Mus musculus: one gene and its partners. The protein of the gene in region 4 purifies or fractionates together with the protein of the main gene of each other region. This does not show direct contact. Links are inferred from orthologs where the notes say so. Each region holds a gene or a part of one and is shown on either strand. Other genes may lie near its edges.

The links.
Region 1: the proteins of Riok1 (region 4) and Wdr77 purify together in Homo sapiens (affinity purification with mass spectrometry; 5 studies listed by BioGRID and IntAct, with this or other methods). This does not show direct contact. The link is inferred for Mus musculus from reciprocal best matches to the Homo sapiens genes RIOK1 and WDR77.
Region 2: the proteins of Riok1 (region 4) and Clns1a purify together in Homo sapiens (affinity purification with mass spectrometry; 3 studies listed by BioGRID and IntAct, with this or other methods). This does not show direct contact. The link is inferred for Mus musculus from reciprocal best matches to the Homo sapiens genes RIOK1 and CLNS1A.
Region 3: the proteins of Riok1 (region 4) and Coprs purify together in Homo sapiens (affinity purification with mass spectrometry; 3 studies listed by BioGRID and IntAct, with this or other methods). This does not show direct contact. The link is inferred for Mus musculus from reciprocal best matches to the Homo sapiens genes RIOK1 and COPRS.

What each region holds. Positions count from the first base shown.
Region 1 is NC_000069.6:105,964,802-105,970,201, reverse strand, and holds the end of Wdr77 (methylosome protein 50), read right to left. Parts: intron 5,122-5,400; coding exon 5,050-5,121; intron 4,438-5,049; coding exon 4,329-4,437; intron 3,846-4,328; coding exon 3,777-3,845; intron 3,040-3,776; coding exon 2,880-3,039; 3' UTR 442-2,879; downstream 1-441. UniProt on the Homo sapiens protein: Non-catalytic component of the methylosome complex, composed of PRMT5, WDR77 and CLNS1A, which modifies specific arginines to dimethylarginines in several spliceosomal Sm proteins and histones.
Region 2 is NC_000073.6:97,694,291-97,700,160, forward strand, and holds the start of Clns1a (methylosome subunit pICln), read left to right. Parts: upstream 1-2,366; 5' UTR 2,367-2,439; coding exon 2,440-2,579; intron 2,580-5,870. UniProt on the Homo sapiens protein: Involved in both the assembly of spliceosomal snRNPs and the methylation of Sm proteins.
Region 3 is NC_000074.6:13,886,768-13,892,837, forward strand, and holds the start of Coprs (coordinator of PRMT5 and differentiation stimulator), read right to left. Parts: upstream 3,505-6,070; 5' UTR 3,469-3,504; coding exon 3,400-3,468; intron 1,060-3,399; coding exon 993-1,059; intron 142-992; coding exon of another isoform or gene 1-141. UniProt on the Homo sapiens protein: Histone-binding protein required for histone H4 methyltransferase activity of PRMT5.
Region 4 is NC_000079.6:38,052,629-38,058,028, reverse strand, and holds part of Riok1 (serine/threonine-protein kinase RIO1), read right to left. Parts: intron 5,152-5,400; coding exon 5,045-5,151; intron 1,868-5,044; coding exon 1,802-1,867; intron 893-1,801; coding exon 773-892; exon of another isoform or gene 652-772; intron 1-651. UniProt on the Homo sapiens protein: Involved in the final steps of cytoplasmic maturation of the 40S ribosomal subunit. Involved in processing of 18S-E pre-rRNA to the mature 18S rRNA. Required for the recycling of NOB1 and PNO1 from the late 40S precursor.

The DNA.
Region 1 (5,400 bases), on a different chromosome or scaffold from region 4:
TGCTATGTCCACACAATGAAAATACCTATGCTTCCTCACAGAAGTCTAAAATCTCACAAGGAAATGTGTTTGGATGCTCAACAGTGGCCTACTTACCTTGCTTACTATCCGATTTTTCCTATTTCCAGTACTCTAAAGATTAGACATGAAGTCCCTTTTTTTGTAATTAGTTTTATTTACATTTCAAATGTTATCCCCATCCCTTTTTCCTCTCCAAAAATCCCCTATCTCCTCTCCCCCCTCTCCCTGCTCCCCAACCCACCCACTCCTACTTGCTGGCCCTGGCATTCCCCTATACTGGGGCATAGAACCTTCACAAGACCAAGGGCCTTTTCTCCCACTGATGGCTGACTAGGACATCCTCTGCTGCATATGCAGCTAGAGACATGAGTCCCACCATGGGACATGAAGTTCTTGAGACAACAACAAAAGCAATTTCCTAGTTCTAAACTCCCCACCCCCAACATTATCTTTATTAGCAATAAGCAACTCAATACAAATGTTGATTAGATACAAATTGTCTTTAGCTTCTTCCACACATGGATTGTTAGATGCCCTAAGCCTTCACAATACACAGACATTAAAAATGTCTTTTTCTATTCACATTTACTTCGTGGGCTTAAAGCTAAACCAAACAACTACCAAAACGCAAAGAAAATACAAGACATTATGCACTGTCCACATACAATACCTTTTTAAAATCGGAGCTGTATATTCTAAAAACAGCAATGTTACGATGCTGTGTGAAGTTGATGACTTTTAGAAGGCCTCTTTCTGAATATCCTGTCCTTCCTTATGTATTGCAAAAAGATAGAGCCCCCAAGCAGATTTGAGTTTGGGTACTTTTTTATTCATGTGCATACATGGAGACAACTTGCAGTCAAGAGTCCTTTTGCCATGTCAGTCCCAGGCTTGATGGCTAACACTTTTACCCACTGAACAATCTCCTGGCCCTCACTGGGTATTTTTGAAGCCATGACAGTGAGCCACAAGAAACATCCATATAGCTAGCTCTTCACTAGAGCACCAGGGGCCAGCTGTGCTACAGAGTGAGATACCTAGAAAACTAGTAACACCTGTCATCACCCGAGACTACACAGATCTTCAATGTTTCTTCTCCCGAGCACCCACCACTCTAGGAACAAGTCTCAGACCTTGGCTGGCCAGAGGTCAGCAGTTCAATAGTAGTGAGGCTAAGTAAGAAAAACAAAGCTAAGGAAATGTGTTCACTCTCGTTCACACATTTGAACAGTTAACACTAACGTGAAAAAAACTAAATGCTTTTCAACGATCAAAATAACCCTAGTGTTACCTCACTGAGGCTTGCAGTGCTGGAACTATTCTCGAGATAATGACTTGCTACAACTCATATTCCTGATCTGATTTGAGGTATATTACCTTGTATATCATAATATACTATGTAGAATTATGCCTGTCATTTACTGTGGCTTTGACTAAGTTGGACATCTGTGGCACGAATTAATCAATGTGGATTACTTTTACCAATACAGACCTAAAAGGAAACAACCCGTATTTACTCATTTCTTTCAGGCTTTTCCTCTATTAGTCTTAGCCCCCAAAGCAGGCCATGTAAATGCACTACCTGTCCTTACCTAAGTGACACAAAGCACAAGCTTTATCTCTAAGAAGCAGAAACTGATCCTACCTATCTTATGCCTTCCCTGAATTTAGTAACAATGCAAGTCCTTGCTTCCACAGTCCCAACCCCAGGTGACCTTGACTGCAAACTCTCAAGCGTTTTGCTCGAGGGTAATTACAACAGAGGCTCATGACTGGCAAGACTAGAAGGGACGATCACATTCCTTCAGGGCGCCCATTTTATGTGCTTTTCCTAAACCCAAGTTGGAAAGCTCCAATAAGATCAGTTACAGATCCACAGTCTCTAATGGAGTGGAATACAGTAGATTACAAAGACAGTGGGCAGCTAAGTCTGACACTGGTGATTCACCTAAGCGAAGCAGGTAATAAGTAACAGCTCTGGGGAGGGAAAATCAAGGATAAAAGTCTTTATTTCACCTTTTAGTATTTCCGACAGTTTCCCTGATGCTGGATCTCAAATCTTAGGAGTCCAAAAATACATTCAGACTTCAGCTCTCCAGAGGAAGGTACCCAGATCAATTTTTAGGTGGGAAAAATGACAGATTTCTCTGTAACAATCCATGTCAATTTTCCCACTTCACTGAAACACTTTTAAGTGGTCCATCATCCCTACAACTTATCTGTGAAATCTAGGACAGGAAAACACTCATCTCTCACACACAACACCAAGGAAGGAAAGGGTGAACAAGAGCTACACTGCAGGGCCAAATTTATTCACCCAGAAAATGGATTTGACTCAGTATAACAGGGACTTGTACAAAACTGTTTTGTCTTCTCAAGGTACAGTGGGCTAGACTTTTGTATATGGAAGTAATTCCCATAATAGTGAATTAAACTCTATATAAAAATAAGTTACGCACCTCTGAGTAGTATGAAGTATTCCCAAAAATCTAGGGATACCCACATTCCATATCCCTAACATCGCCAATTCCCAGACATGGGAAGCATTAAAATCCTCTGGTCACTTTGTCAGGGGTAAAGAGCATTGCTTTGGGAAAGCTGAAGAATAATTTTCTCCACTCCAAACTATATACCGCACTCACACGTGTACTCACATACATCCATTTACAGAGGAAGTTTCTTCCTCTGAGTCACTATGGGATGCAGCCTCCCTCAGGCTGAGAATCTGCCTGTTACTGCACGGGGCTAGGGAGGAAACATGCTCTACAAGGCTCCTGTGCTCTCACACATGGAAGGCAGGGGCAATCGAGTAGTCGCTTACAGACGGAGGGCTTGTTTTGGTTTTTCTGAAATCCATTCTACTCCACAACACTGTCAGGTCCAGGGTTTGGGAGAGGCTCTAAGGGCACAACATGGTGGATGACCTGATGGTCCCAGCCAACTGTGGTAAGAAGGGAGTGATTGAGTGGAGACCACGTAGCATCTCTCACAAAGTCTCTGTGGGCTCGACTTCTAAACCTAGAACAAAAGGGGGAAAAACAGGGTGTGAGATAGGGAGAAACTACTTGGAAAGAAAACCTAGTAACATACTCAGGACACATTTTACCATCTATACAGCCCCATTACCAGGCCAGTGGGTGTTAGATTATCCAACCCAGTCTACTTTCTTAGGTGAAGACACAGTGGACAGAACAAGGAAGCAATAATGTCCACAGTCAATGGGAAATTATGGCAGAGGGATACATACCCAGGTCTCCCATCCAGTGCCTTTTTTTACCCTACACCAAGTTCCACTTCTCCAAAGTGGCTCCCTAAATCAAGCTGGAACACTAGCCAGAAAGCCTACAATCAGAGAGCTTTCAGCACTCAGTCTTGCAGACACATAGCTGCAAATGGAGAGGATTTTGGGGAGGGGTTGGGGATCTCTGCAGAGAAAGATGAAACTTTTCTTGTACTTATACTTATTTTTAATAATATGTAAGTGTGTATTTCCATGTGGGTGTGCATGCCTCTGAGTGCAGATGCCCACAGAAACCAGAGGTATCATGTGCCTTGGATCTGGAGTTAAGAGACAGCTATGAGCAGACTAATGTGCTTACTAGAAACAAAAAGGAAGTACTCTTAACTGCTGAGCCATTTCTCCAGACCCAACAAAGGATGAATTCTACTTGTATGTTCCTGAAGAGGAACCAGACCTGCTTGCCCACTGGTCTTGATCCCCGATTCCTGACCACAGGATTCTACTTCAAACTTACACCTCAGAAAGGCTTGAATCCAGCACAGCAAGTGAACAGTCTTCACTGAGAGAAGTCAGGAGGGGGACACTAGGAGAGGACACAAAAGGAAAAGAAGATAAAGTCCATAGATTCCACAACCAAAATCTATCAGGGCCAGCCCTGACCCCACTGTAAACTGAGACAGGGGAGAAGGCATCCTGATGGCCACTTGAGGTTTAGGTCTTACTACCATTACAATCCCAAGGAAAGGCAAAGAAAATGGAACAGGGCTCACAGAAACCACACTAGCAGCCCACCAGCCCAATGGCTCCTTCTCTACATTAGCAACAGTTACTCAGACTCACAGGCTTTGAGCAGGAATGAGATTATATTTTAGGTCTTCTCAAACTATACAAACCAAATAAAGACTACACTGACAAGCTTGGGAAAGCCAAGTTAGAGTACTGCCCCAGCTAAGGACCAATGGAAGCAGCTTTGCCAAATAGATACCTCCTCCCTGTGTCACTCCATTCCTACTCCTTCACCACTGTCCCCACCCATCCCTTCCAAGTTCCTGGTGACACACAGCACCTGTGTGGGGAGAATACCAGTCTAGTGACACCCTGGGAGTGCACAGCTGAGCTGAGGGTACAGCTTGCATTCTTGGTGTCCACAAGGGAGACAGATCCATTCTCGTCACCTGCAGAAGAAATAAAGCACGTCACAGTGGCTAAGAATTCACGCTCCTGGCTAAGTATAGTATACACCTTTAATTCTAGTATGTGGGAGGCTGAAGCAGAAGGATCTTTGAGTTCAAGGTCAGCCTGGTCTACTCATCAGGTTCTAAGACAGCCCAAACTTCATACAGACCCTGTCTTGAGGAAGAAAAAAAAAAAAAACAACAACAAAAACCATACTTTGATGTGAGCCAGACCTGGATTTGAATGAATCCTAGTCTCTCAAAATGTAGACAACAGTTTCCTTTGTGGTATAGAATCAGTAAGTCACTATGTGGCTGGGACAATTAACTACAAACTCTTACCATATGCAGTCACACCACAGCAGAACATAATTCCATAACAGCAAGCACTTGCTCCACAGCTCACTGACTTCTAACCATGCCCAGAATAAAGAAGCTGGAACAATGAGGAAACAAACCCACTAGGGAAAAAAAGATGCTCTCCATAGCTACCTCAAACTGGCATAATTCATGCAGTGCCTGCATGTGCTGACAGGGGCATGTACTCCATTGAAGGTAGCACTTTGTCATCCTCCCCATTCCCAGAGTCTACGGTACGTCATGCTGCCTTACCAAAAACAAAGACTTCACTCTGCTGAGGATGCCAAGCCAAAGCGGTAGGGAGGTAGCCAGAGGCATTGCAGGCTGGAAGGGAGAAAAGGAAGACTCAGAACAAAGGTCACAACCTAGAAGAAGCTGTCTTCCAAAGGAAGTCACTAAGTTCTGGGAACACTTTCAGTGGGTTTCTTAAATACTGCTGAGCAGTCACGTATGTCCTCATCCCTGAGCCTCACAACCTACATCTATCCACCCATCTCCTGTACACAACTAAAAGCACAGGCATAAAAATAATAACCCTAGATCTTTTGTCCAGCTGTCTGCAGAGTAAACTAGCCACAGAAGCAAACCCTTACTCTGGGTACC
Region 2 (5,870 bases), on a different chromosome or scaffold from region 4:
TGAACAGGTCATGGAATTATTAAACTGTATTTAAAAGTTCTTACAAAAATGTCACTAGTTTCTAAGAGAAATTCCAAGAAGCCAGCAGGCTCTGTGGCAACAACTGAATTCCACGGTCAGAAACTGTTACAGAAAGCTGACACAACAGGAGAGAACACCCTCACACTTCGGTTCTCTGATTTTCTATTACAAGCCTGTTTTGTCTGTTCTTTAACATTTTATTTTCTAGTGGGATACCTGTCGTTGTACTATGACCTCTCCAAACAAATCATTTTATTCTACTATAGGGGCCAAAAATAAAGAACATAATAATGATCAAACCTCATTAGAACATGTCCCTATGTTCTAATAGTAGTAATTCTGGTCTAGTAAGAGTGGGTTTGTAAGCCTAACTCTTACTGTTACCCAAAGGCAGGAACCCTTATAACCTCTTATCTTTACGGGGCTCTGTCAGTTGTTTCCAGGTGATGGTTTGCATTAAAATGCTGGAGCCTGGCACCCAGTGCTTGGAGGGATCTTCTTCACAGCTAAGATTTCTTTCTTCACTTAGCACCTTGTATAAAATGTCTTGCCATTGGGCTATTACAATGTAAATGATTCTGAAGACTAAGACAAATTGATGAGAAACTACTATACTGGTTCTTGCCAGTTTTCTCTGACATACATGGGGGCTCCTTTTCTGAACCAAGCACTGTTTGTTTCACCAAATAAATGTCTTAGGGAATGTCTCAGATTAACCATTTCTCCAATCAGACTCATAGGCTACTCTTTTTAAGTACTGGGGATTCAACCCAAGCTAATCCAGCAAGAACTCTATCTGCTACCCTTGGAACCTACCTTGAAAACCTCTTTCTGAAATCTACCACTTAGAAAGCACACCTACTCAACGTTTTAAACTGGAAATTTAGAAACGATATTTAACCTCTCTTCTTTGTCTATTCTTGTCTTCATCGTCACAAATTCTTCCTCTCAATCTATATCCACATGACGAGGATTTTAACCTTCAGAGAGTTCTAGAATCTTTTCTCATCCCCTCCCTTACTCCACTCCCACCTTCTCATTCCTGTTCAGGGGACCTGCCTCCTAGTCTCACTAACAACAAACTAAATTTTAAAACGTAACACTTGGAACTGACTGGAGACATGGGTCAGCTTGTGAGACTGCCTAATGCCTTTGCAGATAGGGTCACTGCGCCCAGGCAGGGTGGCTCACACCTGACTGTATGTAGGTAGGTATATACATATATGTGAGGAAAAAAATCTTTAGATTCCTCTGTTGAAAAGAATCCAAAGGGAAAAAAGGAGGAAGAAGAGAAAGAAAGATAAAACTGCTATCACATCCTCCATGTATGTTATCCAACCTAAACAGCCTTAGCCCCATAGATATTACAATTCTACAGCCAAAAAAAGTGGAGTCTAGAGGTCAACTGACTGAATTCCATCCACCAACTCTAGCTTGTGAGTTTAATGCCTCAGGTCCCATCTGTTAAAGTGGGTAATAGAAAATGTGTTCATATTGTGTATCATAAAGAAAAAAATTAATTGAGCAAGTGTGGTGATGGGTGCTCATAGTAGTACCAGTAAACTGGAGTTCGGTGCAAATCGATTATGTATTGGAAGCCAGCCTGGGATACTTAAAGAAGCCCTGTCTCAAAAACCACGAAGGAATCCATGAAGAAATATAAGAGGTAAAGTCCGTATGCTGTGTGGTCTATAGGTCTCTGTTATGGGTTTCTATTCACCAAACCTGTAGGTTTTCACTGCTCTTATTCACTGGGACCTAGCGAACAGGGAAGGCAAGGGTTCCTAACCAGTGGCCTACCTTTCCCTCGGGCAGTCTTTTGACTGTCTTGCTGCGCACTGTCCATCATTAATGTAACCTTTTCGTGCTCGTGGCATGACTCGTGGGGATGGGGCGCTCGATCTCTCCGGCGACGTGGGGACTAAGAGGTCTGGTAAATGGCTGTGTGAACCCAAGGAGAACAGGCCTGACGAGGCGGAAGCAGGGTAGACTCGTGCACCCAGCCGGGAGACTTGGGATCTCCAGATGCGTGTGGATTTTATTTCTGTGAGTCCTCCTTCGGCGAGGGACTCCTGGGGCCTGGGTCCCTTCCCGCTTTTTGTTGGGAAAGGCTTGGTATTCCTTATACATCCTCTCTCGGGGTTTGCTCCTATGACCTTCAAAGAGAACCACATAGAAAACACTCGATTATTCTAAGCATCCTTAGAGGAGCGGGAAAGGGGAACCGATGCCACGTGACAAAAGCCAGCCGGCTCGCTGCGGACCTCTGAGTTGCCTAGAACATCCCGTCTCTATGGTCAACCGCATGCTAAGGCCCTCGCTGAGAAAGTTGTTCTTCCGGGCTACGACTACTGCTTCCGGGGCAGCTCCGTGCGAGCCGCGATTGCGGTACTCGCCTCTCTCGGTTCGCGTGGAGCGATGCTTTCCCCGGCAATGAGCTTCCTCAAAAGCTTCCCGCCGCCTGGGTCGGCCGACGGGCTCCGGCTGCAGCAGCCAGACACCGAGGCTGTGCTGAACGGGAAGGGGCTCGGCACCGGCACGCTTTACATCGCGGAGAGGTAAGGTTGGGGGGCGCCGACCAGCCGGCCGGCGCTATTGTGCGGGCAGGGTGGGATTGTCCCCTCCCGAGCTCGGCTGGTTCTGTCCCCTAGCCCGCGTTTCTCCCTAACGACCTGTGCGAACCGGCCTGTCTCCTGCAAGCCTGGCGCGTGGTCACGTTGAGTTTTGAGTCTGCAGAGCCTCGGTTAGTTTTTCCGTGGGCCTAGCTTTCGGAATGGTCGTGTCAACTAGACGATTTCCCTGCGTGGAATATGTAGCTCAGATTGTGACGGGTTACGACGTTTGGTTAATGAGCTGGGATGTTCTGCTTCAAGTGTGTGTGTTTGTGGGGGCTGGGGGGAAGGACCATCTTCAGGCCCACGCAGGGCGGAGTCACAACCAGCCGAACCCGACTCCTGGATGTGCAGGTCCTGGAAGGAATTCTTCTATTTCACTACCTGCAGGATTCAGTACTTTCACAATAACATAGACATGCCACTAAAATACACACTACATACACGCTCATACCCTCCTACCCCCACCCCATACCTTCCTGTTCACCCGCCCTCCCTCCCCATTTCTTTCCTTTCCCTTCCTCCCTCCTTTCCCCCCTCTTTCTTTCATTCTTTCTTTCTCTTCTCATTCTTTCCTGTCTTTCAGAGTCTCTGGTTTACCTTTTGCTATATTCTATTTGTTGGCCACAAAGGAAATCCTCTGCTTTTAAGAGCTCGAGTTATAACATTGCTCCTGCCTAGAAAATCCAGGCTATCTCGTTTATTTCACCATCAGTAGATTAGTAATCTTAATTACATTCAAAGTCCCTTCTTTCATGGCACTGGAAAACAAATCTCTTGGGGACCAAGATTATGCCTACTACAGAGCCCAGGGTATAAACGTGTAAAGAGCTATTTGTTCAGAGAACAGTGTGGATAGTGGGACTGGGTGTTTAGACACCGACTAGAAATACAAATGTGGGTGGGTGCGCAGTTTGGTTGGTATATGTGTTTGGAGTAGCCATGAGGGAGAAAGAAAAGGGATGGGAGGGAAGAAGTTGTGAGATTCATTCATTCATTCATTCATTCTGTAAGTTCTGTTACTCTAGAGAACCCTGACTAATACACATGGGCAAATAAAATGGATCTTGTCAAAGTTAGGAATATATCTGTGTTCCACCACTCCACATGCAGAAGAAATTGTGGAGATCACCAAAGATCTTACTGCTTATACCCAGCAGATGTTTTCCAGTTTACAGTCTATTTCTTCCATTCCTTCTCTCTCCTAAGTCTTCTTTCAAAAGACTTGAAGACTCTTGAAGCATGTGTCTCTCTAAGGTACTTTCCCTGGCCTCTCTTCTGGGCTATATAGCTGACTACAATGGGTATGTAAACACCTACTTATTGATTCCAAATCTGCCTTGTGTTGCAGGATGTTTGATCACACTGTAAACAATGAGATTGTATACTAGATAAAAACCTTTTTCTAGGTGTGGTGTGGCACAGCCTTTAGTCCACATCTTTATTGCCTCTGGCTGGAATACAGACAAGGCCTTAGTACACACCTTGAATCCCAAATAGTGAAGGTAAAGTTAGTTTGTGGAAGGAAGCACCATGTTTGAAAGTGATGTCTAGTTGAGTGGCAGAAAAAATGATCAAATCCGAGAAAGATTTGACCAAATAGGATACGCCCAACCTTCGGGAGAAAAGAGGAAAGGAAAGCTACTGGAGAGAGCAGTTCAGAGAGAGGAAGGAGGCGGTTTTACTGGGACAGTTGTACCGAGACAGGTTAGAGAAAAAGAAGGAGCCAGAAGATCAGGACAGATTGCTAGAGTTACCTTGATGTCAAGCAGAACAATTCAGTCAGAAGCTGAGAGAAACCCGATTGAGTCAGTCAGCTTGGAGAGGAGTTTGCACCAGAACAGCTGAGTTAAACCAGCCAGTTAGAGCTTTGAGAGAACAGGAAAGGGTGAGTTTATTCAGCAGTAAGTCTAAGTCTATAAATATTCTATGCCTAGATTAGATTGTATGGAGGCTAGAAGCTTCCAGGATTAAGCCTAGGCTAGCAGACAGGAATGAAAACTTTAGAGATGACATTACTACAGGAGAATAAGATACTTTTATACCCCTTGATACCATGCTCCACAGATACAAACTCAGAAGCCCAACTACTTTCACATCCACCAACCAAACTCATCACCCCTCTTCATATCAAGCTTGTTTTCCTTCATATTCACTCTGTAAACTCCCAGGCTTTGTCCACTATCAAAATTGCTCTATAAATCAAGAGGGGTTTGTTTTTGTAAATACCTTTATTTTGGGGGGGGGTGGGCTTCGAGACAGGGTTTCTCTGTATAGCCCTGGCTGTTCTGGAGCTCACTCTGTAGACCAGGCTGGCCTCAAACGCAGAAATCCGCCTGCCTCTGCCTCCGAGTGCGTGCGCCACCACGCCCGGCTTTTTAAACACATTTATACCCTGAACTCTCTAGTAGGCATAATCCCTGCCCCCTCTCTGTCTTTTGAGAATGGGGATGTTTTAGGATGACTTAGAGGCTGTGGTCTAGTTAATCCAACAATGGCTGGCTGTGAAGGGAAAGTCCAGGAATCCAGAGGCTGCTCAGTTCAAGGGGCTGGAGGTCTCAGCTGGTCTCAGTAGATGCTGGCATCCCCAAGACCTGGAATGGGTCTTCCTGACTCGGGATCGGGATTAGAAGTAGATCTTCCGACTTCAAATTAAGCAAAAAACCCCACACTGATGTGCCCTCCATTTTTGGATTTTTAGTTAATTCCAGATGTAGTCAAGTTGACAACCAAGAATGGCCATCATAGCAGGGCAGTGGTGCTGCACACCTTTAGTCCCAGCACTCGGGAGGCAGAGGCAGGCAGATTTCTGAGTTTGAGGCCAGCCTGGTCTACAGAGTGAGTTCCAGGACAGCCAGGGCTACACAGAGAAACCCTGTCTTTAAAAAAAAAAAAAAAAAAAAAAAAAAAAAAAAGAAAAGAAAAAGGCTGTCATACTATGTAAAATGGGATTTGTTTGTTTTTGGTTTCTTGTTTGTTTGTTTTGTTTTGGTTGGTTGGTTTTGGAACTCAGAAATCCTCCTAGGAAGTGCTGGGATTAAAGGCGTGTACCACCACTGCTGGGATGTTTCTTTGTTTTTTGCTTAAGACAGGGTCTCTCTCTGTGTAGTCCTGGTTCACCTGGACTTCCCGCCTTTGCCTCTAGAGTGCTGGGACTAAAGGTGTGTGCTGCCACCATGCCCAGTGAGTCTTTCTGTAATTCTTTTGGGGAGGGGAGGCTTCTTGTGTGTGCTTTTC
Region 3 (6,070 bases), on a different chromosome or scaffold from region 4:
AGCACCATTCAGCCACCAAATGCCACCAGGGGATAAATGATCCACAAAGTGCAGGAAACCTGGTGGTGGGCGTGCTCAGTCTTGTGGGTGAGGGGTGCTGACGCAGGCTGCTACAGGAATGGACCCTGGAAATGTGCTGAGCTGGAAGAAGCAGGACGTAAGAGACCAAAATTTCCTTTACTGTGAATTCACACTTGCATGTCCATACCAGGTAATTCATTAGGGGTGGGGAGCTATCAGTAGTTAGGGGCTTGAGAACTAAAGAGTGGAGAGTGCTCCAGAGACAGGGCTTCCTTTTGGGGTCGTGACAACATCCTAGAGGTAGCAGTGACAGTTGTACACACTATCACAGAGCGGAATGAGCCAGGTCATATAGTTAATATAGTTAACAGGTAAAGCCAAGTCTATATCTTTTGCTGTATTTTAAGACTTTACTATGTACCTTAAGTTTCTCATTGGTGAAATAGTCCTCAGATTGTTGTGAGTTTATTTAGGGGGAAAAAAGGAAACACTCAGATCTGTGCCTGAAACACTTAGCACCTACTCTGATCATACCCATGCTGTCTGTACCCAGGCTGTATAGACCAGTGCTACCCAGTGTAACTCAGTACATCACAGAGCTACACAGTGGCAGTGTCATTACAGATCTTCTCATTCAACACGACGAAGTACCCTACTTTAAAGATAAAGCCATCTAGAGATGAAAAAGGCAAGCCCAAGGACTACAACCTGGGTCTGAAACTGAAACAGTCTTCCTAGCTACACACACTAGATGCTTTTCCTCCCAGTGAAATGGGGTGGTTTGGGTCCACGGTCATCCAGTACCTCCTCGAAGCTTCTAAACCAAGAGTCCCGCTGAGACAGTGGGCAAAGAAGGTAACTCAGTGGCTAAGTGGGTCAGCTAGCAAGAGAAGATAGACAAGACAGCGGGACTGTGCTGTCTCCATCTCTTCCAATGGCCACCCCAGCCCCAGTCTCTGCCGTCTACTTGCCTAGTCGATCCACGGCCAGCTCAGTCTCCGTCTCCCGACCAGAGAGGTCAGCTGTGGCAAAGCCAGCCTGTGGAAGAAGAAATAATTACCAGGAACTTGGGTAGTAGGACATGTCACTGCTTTGAAGCTCCAAACCCGCCCACCCATAATGCCCTGCACGATGTAGAGTTTGCACACCCTTCTGAGGACCTGGCAAGGCCTCAGAACAGGGCCTGTAGGCTACAGGCATCACCCAGGAACACTTCTCCGTTCTGACCGCTGGGAGTGCCCTTTTGCGGTGCCCAATGGACAGCTGTCACAGCTGTCAGTTTTGCTCTCAGCCCCAGGCCCTCTTCAGAAGTCTGGGCAGCAGGACTTCTCCAAGCTCAGAGACCCTAGAGCCAGATGGGACAGCTCCCTGGTCTCGGCTTGTAACCTCAAGTCTGTGTGTAAACTCTTTCCTCTAAGTCCAAAAACACTTTAACTGCTCTAACTTCTCTTTTTTCCTGGCCAGGATTGATAGTTGTCTCCTGAACCTGCAACTTCTCTGCACACCTTTGCCCTTCTCAGGTCTTTATGTCTAACAACTCCTTCCAACACAGCCATTCCACAGCGGTCCACGGGAGAAGCAGCCTGAGTTCTACACACTGGAAAGAATACCTAACCCCGCCCCCCCCCCAATGCCAACCAGGTAATTTTGCGGCCTGTTGCCTCAAAGTTCCCCAAACTTTACTCCCCCCAAGGTCTCTCTGCAGTGGAAACAGTAATGTCCAGGGCTTGGATGATCAGGCTGATGTCAGTTGTTGCCCCACCATGCACGTAGGCTGTGACCTTTAGATACTGGAATGGCTGTTCTGATCTGGCAGGGGTCGTATGATGGAGGATATTTATAAAACATCTAACATATGTTGGAGACGTAGCTCAGTTGGTCAAGTGTCTGCCTAGTGTACACAAAGCTACACACTGATTTTTCCAACACTACATAAAACCAGGCATGGTGGGCCACTCTGTAATCTGAGCATTTAGGAGATAGGTGCAGGAGGATCAGAAGTCCTGGCCACAGAGTGAGCCCAGCTCCTGGGCTACATGAGACCCTGTCTCAAAAATATTACAATAAAGCCAACAATAATAACAAAACCACCTGTTAGACTGCAAGAAGTAACACTTCTTTGACTTAAATTGCAATATTTATTTTATTTGTGTATATTTGTGTGTGTGTGAATATACCAGGAGGATCCCCTGGAGAGGGAGTTGCAGAGGGCTGAGACATCTGTTGTGGGTGCTAAGAGCCAAGCCAAACTCTGTAAGACCACCATGGCTGTCTTTCCAGCCTTCATCCTGCATGTAAATAAACTGTACTTAGCACTCACCCTAATTACCGTTCATTATCTAGTCACCCCTGAGCTTTAATGACTCTATCTCCTGTAGTCCGTGATAACCACAGACCACTGCTGCCCCCTATGGTGCTGGACCTCTTACTTGAACCTCACGCCTATCTCCCTACTCCTGCTCACCCTTCCACTTAAAAGCTTCGCGAGCCCTCCACTGCCATCACAGACCAGCAATGCCATTCATATTGACTCTCACGTTCCTTTCTGTAAGAAGCCTGCTCTCCGACCCAAGCTCCAAGGCCATTTGCCTTGCCCTTTCTCATATCCAGACCTTTGCTGGGCCTACCCTCTCACCCAAGAACATCCTTTCCAGATCCGCCCTAACAACATCACTCTCCTATTTTGCAAAAGTGATTTTCTTTGCAAATCTATTGGTACTTGAATAGCAGCTTCAAGTACCATCACTGAGGCTCTGGTAAGCGTTCTATTCATTCATCCAATTAGGATACACCAGGCATAGGTGCGGCTTCTGGGAAACAGGATGTCTACAGTCAAGAAGCTCGCAGTAGGTGGATGCAATACGGGCAGGTCATGGGGAAAGGCTGTATGGCGCGCACTTAAAAACAAGTTTCTGAAAACCCGTGTCACAAGGGGACCATTCGTTTCATCAAATGGGAAAAAGCACGGGTGACATCTGGCGTCCAAGGTCAGCTACACATCCCCACCAATGGCCAGAGGTCCTCAAGGTGAGAAAAAAAAAATCCGTTTCCTCGCAGCTCCCACCTGACCCAGCCCCCTGCGGCTGGAGCGGGCTCAGGGCAGCCGGCTCCGGGAAGCCAGCTCCGCGTTCCCTGCATTCACTCCCGCAGATGCTCCCCAGCAGCCCCAGTGTCCCTCTCCCTTCAGCGCCAGCCACAGCCTAGGGCTCGGGTCCGCGCGCGTTCCCGCGCCCACTGCCGTTACCGGCCAGGCTCTCTGCGTGCACTCGCGCGGCCCCGGCGTTTCCCGGGTGAGCGGCCTCCCGGCAGCGCGTGAACCCCGCGGTTTCCCGCCTGGGTGGTCGCGGATGCCCGCGTCCCCCACCCCGTCGCGCTCACCTCCGCGCTGGGGGCCTCCTGCGAACTCCGCTCGCCCGGGCCCCGACCGGTGGCTGCCTGAGGGTCCATGCCCGGCCGCCCACAGCCAGGCGCCTGGGACGCTCCGGCACGTGACGGCCGACGGGCTGCGGACAAGCCAATCGGCGTGGGGCGGCGCGGCGACCGAGGGGGCGGGGCGGCGCAGGGGCAGCGCCGGACGGCACGCCCACCTGCGTTGTTGTGCGGGACCGCAGGCTCTACAGCTCTTTCTGACCTCTAGTGCTGGTTTCGAGCCTTAGGCCTGATTGGGCACTGAGCCATCCCAGCCACACGGGGCTTTCCTACTGCATTGTGAAATGACACATAGAGCCCACCCGGGTGTCACACAGTCACAGCCGATGGGCTCCATCACTTTTCTCTCTACCCAATCACAGGGTTTTCCAGATTGCAGGCTGCACCCGCACTACAGCATCCCTTAATGAGGGACTTCAGCAACCTGAAATGATCTGAAATGATAACCCAGCAGCCTGGAGACATGCTGCTTTGATTTAATGATCGTCTTTAAAGTCAATCTGCAAGGAACCAGGATAAAGGAGCAAAACAACGTGCCACCACAAAAACAAGGTGGTGTTAGGAACTTAGAGTCAAAAGCCAGTGCTCCAAGTCAGTAATGTGACTTTGTTGAATAATTCTCCGTTTTCCGTTTCTCTTAGGAGTGTCAGAGGCTACAGCTAAAAAGTTTTGCCCACATGACTACTGGAACAGGAGCTGGACAAAGATGATACCAGTAGACATGCTAATTGGCTCACAAAGCCTCAACCCTACACACAGAACTATAGGCAACTAAGGATTGCTGAGAGTGGGAGAGATAGCCTTCCCCAAGGAAGAGTACCGTTGGTTATCCAGTACCCAGTGGTTGGTTATCCAGTATTCAGTGGTTGGTTATTCAGTACCCAATGGTCTGCCCTGGAAGCCCTACACATGCAAGTAACATTGTATAGACTGAGCAGATTGTATTTAGGTACATTCACATACACACACACACACACACACACACACACACACACACACATGCACACATACACATTCACACATTCACACATACACATTCACAGATACACACATTTGTCACACATATACACATACAAATGAGCGTTCACACACAACACATTCGCGCGCGCACATTCACACACGTTCACACATATATTTCTCACACACACATTCACACATACATTTCTCACACATATACACACACATTCACCCATACACATTCACACACGTTCACACACACACACACAAATAGATTTCACACACGCACACACACAAGCGCGCGTTTGACTAACCTGTTCTCAGGAGATACTTGCTTCCCACTGCATGATTGCTATTCCCACAGCAGCTTGGGGAAAGGAATCAGAAATGTTTACTTACCTTCCAATTTTGTTTTGAACAGGAGTCTTGCTAGACAGCCCAAGTTCAATTAGAAATCGAGATCTTCCTGTCTGTTTCAGCTTTCCAAGTGCAGAGATTACACGTGTGAGCCACCACACTCTGACTGAAAGAGAAATCTGCACCGAATGATAACAAGCTTTAAAAATAGCACGCACTGCCATGACTTAGAAACTACAAATCCATCTTCCCAGACAAGACATGCTTATACAACGTACTTGCTCCTTTTTGAGCAACATAATTTTACTGAAAAAAAAAAAGACAAAAAGATGGATAATTGTCCTGTAAACTAAAAAGGATGAAATGTCTTCTTCTACAAGGACAGAAAGCCTATTGCATCTTGTGTAAGCAGACACCCAGGCCAGCGCCTCCATAGCAGTTTAAATGAGGACACATCTGCGAATCAATACAAGAAGTGGAGACTGACAGTTGGTTATTCCCGTCTCAGTCAACATTTAGTGACATTAGCCACCCCTGAATTATGGTGTTTACTTCTCTTCCTGATCTTCTTGCCTTATTTATTTATTTATTTATTTAATGTTTGAGTACTCTATCTGTACATACACCTGCATGCCAGAAGAGGGCATCGGATCCCATCATAGATGATTGTGAGCTGCCATGTGGTTGCTGGGAATTGAACTCAGGACTTCGGGATTATTTAAAATCTTAATCCAATTACATTTCAGGGTACTTTGGAGACCAACAATTCTATTTCAAAGAATATATTCTAGTAGCCAATCTCCAACGTGGACAAATAGTATTTCTACCTACTGTGTACAAAGAATCTACACACCATACAGCTGTTTGTTGTTGTTGTCATTGTCTGAGGCACATGATCTCACAATATTAGCCAAGCTTTCTCCAACTCCTGGATTTAAACAATTCTGATGCTGCTTTCTACCAAGTAGCTGGTATCTGAGACTAAAGGTGTGTGTCACGGTATAATTCCATGGGACTTAGGTTTAATAAGTGACTTCGGGTTTGTTCTTGTGGTAGGAGTTCATTCTGTAGTTCAGGCTGGCCTGAAACTATCTTGCTCAGGCTGGCCTTGAACTCACAACCCCCACCCCCACCTTCAGCCTCTCTAGTACTGGAATTACAGGTGTGAGCCAGGGCAGCCGTAATTTTTATTGGAATTCTTACTGAAGGAGGAAGGGCAGGCAAGTGTTGATCCACAAATGCAAACTGTGATTGTGATATAATCTCAACTCTATAAGACACATCTCAAATGATACAGTAGCATCTT
Region 4 (5,400 bases):
TCAGCAGATAAAGGCACATGCCACGAGAGCCTGCCTATGTTCCGCAGAAGCCACACAAAGGAGGAGAGAAGTGAGCCGACAAAGCTGTTCTCTAGTCTTCCTACAGGCACCACGGCATGCGTGCTGACACATGTCTAACACACATGTAATATAGTCTTAATGCTTTTATTTCATGCATGAAAAGCTGGAGAACACTACTTCACTCTTTATACAAAAACTTATATAAACAGCTAAATTTTGCTACATGGCTAAAAAGCCTAAAAGGTTACTTTCTGGTCTACTAACAACAAAAAATTTCCCCCAGGGGAACTAGAGAGATGCACTGTGGCTAAGAACTTGTTCTGCTCATGTGGAGGACCCGAGTTTGGTTCCCAGCACCCATGCAGGGAAGCTTATAACCCCCTCTTAACTCCAGCTCCAATAAACCCTAACACCTCTGGCTTTCAAGGACACCAGCATTCCCTCATGTGTGCATGCCTTCCCCCACGCACACATAATTAAAAATGATATAAATATTTTAATCATTCCTTCAAATATGTATGAAAATGAAGCACAGCTTTATCAACCCACTACGATCGTTGTTAACCCGAGACTTCGCCTTTTTTCTCATCACAGTTCTCTGACACATGGAAATGCACCGCCCTCTCTTACATCGCTTATGCAGCACGTATGGAAGCTTATGCAAAGGGAGCTGGCTGTCTCACGAGCACCAGGCAGGACTACGCTCAGTCTCCTTTGGTAGAACAGGCTCCAGACAGAGCAGGCCACTCACGTTGTCTTGCTGAGTGTTCAAAGCCATGTCTTCTTCCTTTAACCTCATCATGATGTCCACATCTCTCTCATAATTCTTTACTTCGTTTAAGGTTCTGGGAATATATGCTTGTTTGAACACCTAAAAGAGGAAAGCAAAATCAAACTGTGATTCCTCACCCTGCCCATCCCTCAGCACCCTTAGCTGGGTGCAGAAATGTATCCTCATCGCCAATGCTGGCTCCCACTCCAGCTGTGCACACGCTGGGGTCATGTCTGCTATGTGGTAAGCTAGAAGCAATTTGGTAAGCTAAAAATGAAATTTTACAACTGACTTAGGGGAGAAAGAGAGTGTATTCCAATGATTCTTAGAGTAACACTCCTCCCATACATACACATTCCAAAGGGCATCTGAGGAAGGACAGGATAGACAGGTAGCAAGGACGGCCTGGCTGTGAGCAACTGAATACCCACCACTCTTACATTGTAGGAATATCTCTATGAAGCTGCCACAAACTTCTGAGAATAAGCTACAATTAAAATAATAAATATAATAATAATTAGCCTATTGTGGACCTTAATAAAAATGTCTTGATTTCTTTAGACTGGTTCGATTTTAATTTTTAACAAAGTATTTAAAGTCTGTTATATTTACACAATGAGCACATAGGCCATCTAAAAATTCATACTTGCACATGAATAGGCTTTTCCTTCTTGACTCACCCCACAAGCCTGAACAACAGGCTAAAAGGCTGCTGAGTACAGCAATATAACTGAATGTAAATTATATACCCTGTGTCTAAAAATCAAGTTCAAGCTTTACCAACAGAAACAAAACCATGGAAACTCCTGTAACACAAGAATCAGTTGGAAATGGTGGCACATACTCCTAACTCTAGCAGAATGAGTGCTAGTTTGAGGTCAGCCTGTACCGCATATCAAGTTCTAAGACAGCCTGGTTTATATGAAAAGACACACAACACAACACTCCAGAGTGCCAAGCAAAGCCCACAAGTGTTCCCCAAGGCTGTGAATACACAATAACCCCCACCTCTTCATCCACATGATCTTGGCTAGTCTTTTCTTCCTTGGTCCTCTGGGATGCTATTTCCATAGCCTTTGAAAGAAAGCAAAACAATTATTTCCCTTTACATTTACCCTAGAAGACACACTTTTTATTTTGTAATGAACTATTTTTTTTAGTCTTCACAGGTATCATGTCTTCACACTTCTCCAACTAGAGTGAGCTTCTACAATGTAGACTGGCTCTCTACCAAAGACTTGACAGTCATTTTAAAAGAACTAGAATAAACTCCTCTAGTCTCAAGGTACCTTTAGTGCCTTCTTCAAAAATCAACATTGGGGGCAGCTCCGTGGTGGAGCACTGGCCCAGGGTCACAAAGTCACACACCCAGCCCCAGCTCATGGCCAAGACAACAAGAAGGATTTTTTTTGGGGGTGGGGGGCAAGAACAGGGTTTCTCTGTATAGCCCTAGCTGTCCTGAAACTCACTTTGTAGACCAGGCTGGCCTCGAACTCAGAAATCTGCCTGCCTCTGCCTCCCAAGTGCTGGGATTAAAGGCGTGCACCACCACGCCCAGCTTAAGAAGGATTTTTTTTAAACTTAATTTTAAACTATTAGCAGAAATCTTTTTTCATCAGAAGAAACTGAGACTCAATAATGAACCACTTCTTGAACCTTGAAATGTCAGTGACATGAATCACAAGAAAGGTAAATATGTGGCCCTAATGCCGACACAGGATATATCACCAATAAAGTCGCGCGGGCAACAGTAACTGTAAGGAGAGAGACTCTATACTGGGTTCTTCTTCTGACTCATAAAAACAGTTCTCTAGTTAAAACACAGGGAGAGGGCCAGAGAGGTGGCTCAGTGGCTAAGAGCATGGACTATTCTTCCAGAGGACCAGAGTTCAATTCCTAGTGCCCACACATTGGAGAGCTCACAACACCAGCTCCACGGAGGTCCAATGCCTCTGGCCTGTACAAGCATCTACACACACGTGCACATACCCATATGGATGCATACTAAAGTAAAAATATATCTCTCAGAAATAGATATAGAGAAAGAAAGAACATTTATTTTGTTTTTTTTAAAGTATAGAATCAATACTAATAGAGATAAAAAATACTTTGATAGTCAATACATGTATGGTGGTTTAATAAAAATGGCCCCACAGGCTAAGGAGTAGCATTGTTTGAAAGGATTAGGACATGAGGACTTGTTGGCATAGGAGAGACGCCTTGTTTTAGAAAGTATGTCACTGAAGCTCAAGCTAGGCCCAGCGGCTCACACTCTCTTCCTGCTGCCTACTGAGCCAGTGTACAACCTCTCAGCGACATCTCCAGCACCGTGCCTGCCTGTGAGGCTACACACTTCCCACCATGATGAGAATGGACTACACCTCTGAACTGTACTCCAACTCAATTAAATGGTTTCCTTTGTAAGTGTTGCTGTGGCAATGATTTTTCTTGACAGCAAAGAAAACCCTAAGACACCATGTAGCTGCCTAGTACATAATCAGGTACTAACAATATACAAATAAAATTTCTGTCCCTCAAGAGTTCATAATCTGCCAAACATGGTGGTGCACTACGACCCTGGCATTTCTGAGGCAGCAGAGGGAGGAGCATAAGGCCAGGTGAGCCAGGGCTACAAAGTAAGACTATCTAAAGGAAACAAAAACCCAAACAAGACAAATAAATAGGCTGGAGATGTATTCAGCTGCAAGGAGTGTGGGCACAGCATGCACTGAGCCCTGGGTTTGCTCCCCAGCACTACATAAACTAGAACAGGCTGCTGTGGTGTGGTTATAATCTCAGAACTCAAGAGACAAAGTCAGAATTGCAAGTTCAAGTTCATCCTTGGCTATACAGGGTCTGAGATAGCCGGGGGGATATTAAAAAAAACAAAAAACAAAAAACCACTGTCTCCGGCTGGTGAGATGGCTCAGTGGGTAAGAGCACTGAATGTTCTTCCAAAGGTCCTGAATTCAAATCCCAGCAACCACATGGTGGCTCACAACCACCTGTAATGAGATCTAACGCCCTTTTGTGATGTGTCTAAAGACAGCTACAGTGTATTTATATATAATAATAAACAAGTCTTTGGGCCAGAGTGAGCAGGGACAGAGCAAGCAGGGCTGACTGGAGCGAGTGGGGCCACTGGAGCAAGCACGGTTGACCAGAGCGAGCAGAGGTCCTAAATACAATTCCCAACAACCACATGAAGGCTCACAACTATCTGTACAGCTATAGTGTACTCATATACATAAAATAAATAAATAAATCTTTAAAAAAACCACAGAAAAACACTGTCTCAAAAAAAAAAAAATTTAAAGAGAAAACAATGCTCCTGAAATCACTGCTCCTCCTGAGACCCTTTGCCACAACTGTCTGACCTGAGTTTTAACATTCGCCAGACCAAGCAAGATGAACAAGTGCACAAGTGCCAAGGTGGACAGGCCCTCCAGGAGAAAGGGGAACTATAAGAATCCTGACTCAGAAGTGACAAGATTAACAAGGAAGGCACAAATGGATTAGGTTAGAATATAAAACTTCTGTTTAGGGACCAAAGGATGCACTCAGACAACACACGGCATTTGTCTTGTGGGGAATCCTGGCTGCTCAGCTCTCCCCAGCCTTGAGTTGGGGTGTTTCCTCTGCCTGTGTGTTGCTCTTGTCCCTGAGCCTGATTCCCAGCGCTCACAAGCACCCGTAACCCCAGCTCCAGGGGTCCAATACCATCAGGACTCCTTGGGCATCTACACGCTTGCAGCATATGGTCACACAAACACACACATATACATATTAAAAAGCAAACCAACGTGATTTTACTTGTTAGCAGTACTGAGAGAAGCAGAGTGCAGGCAGAATGGCCGTTTCCAGGAGCTGGTGGGGGTCGGTAAGTACAGGTTCAGTATTTGATGTTAAAAAAAGTTCTGAAGATAGAAAATCTGTGGCTTACACAATAATTTAAATGTATATAATGCTTTGTACTTAAGGTCATGCATGTTTTACCACGCACATGACAGTTTTCTCATTAAACGTATGGAGGTTGACAGCCGTCACAGTTTCTCTGTAATCCTGCCAAGTAAGTGACGTCAAGAGCCCTGCCTCTACTGACTTCCTTACTGTTGTTAATCTCACTGTGAAATGGTAAGTGCTAAGACATGATTAAAATGATAGTGACACTGAGCAACACTAATGACTGAACCTCTCAGACAGGCCACACAAAGGCAAGTTCTCGTGTGTCCTCTCCTCAGCCCACCTTACCTTTTCCAGGTAAGCATCCATGTTGTCAGCAGTGATGGAGGGATCTGTGACGAAGTCGAAGAGCTCCCGCACGGTCATCACTGCAACAGCATGCTTGGAAAAGAAATCTGTCAGAAGGAAGCAGTAATGACAGCTCGAGAAAGGGAGTCGCTCCTCCTCCAGCCAAGGAACAGAGAAAGAAAAAACAGTGCACCATCGCCTGCCTGCCAGTGGCGTAAGTGGCGTAAGTATATTGAGCCATCCCAAGACTTGTCAGCGCTGGGGATCAAATGCATGGCTTTCCACACAAGACAGATCTAACATCCCTATGCCAGACTACATTCCCACTTCAAGTGTCAAGACCTTATCCCAGTGCT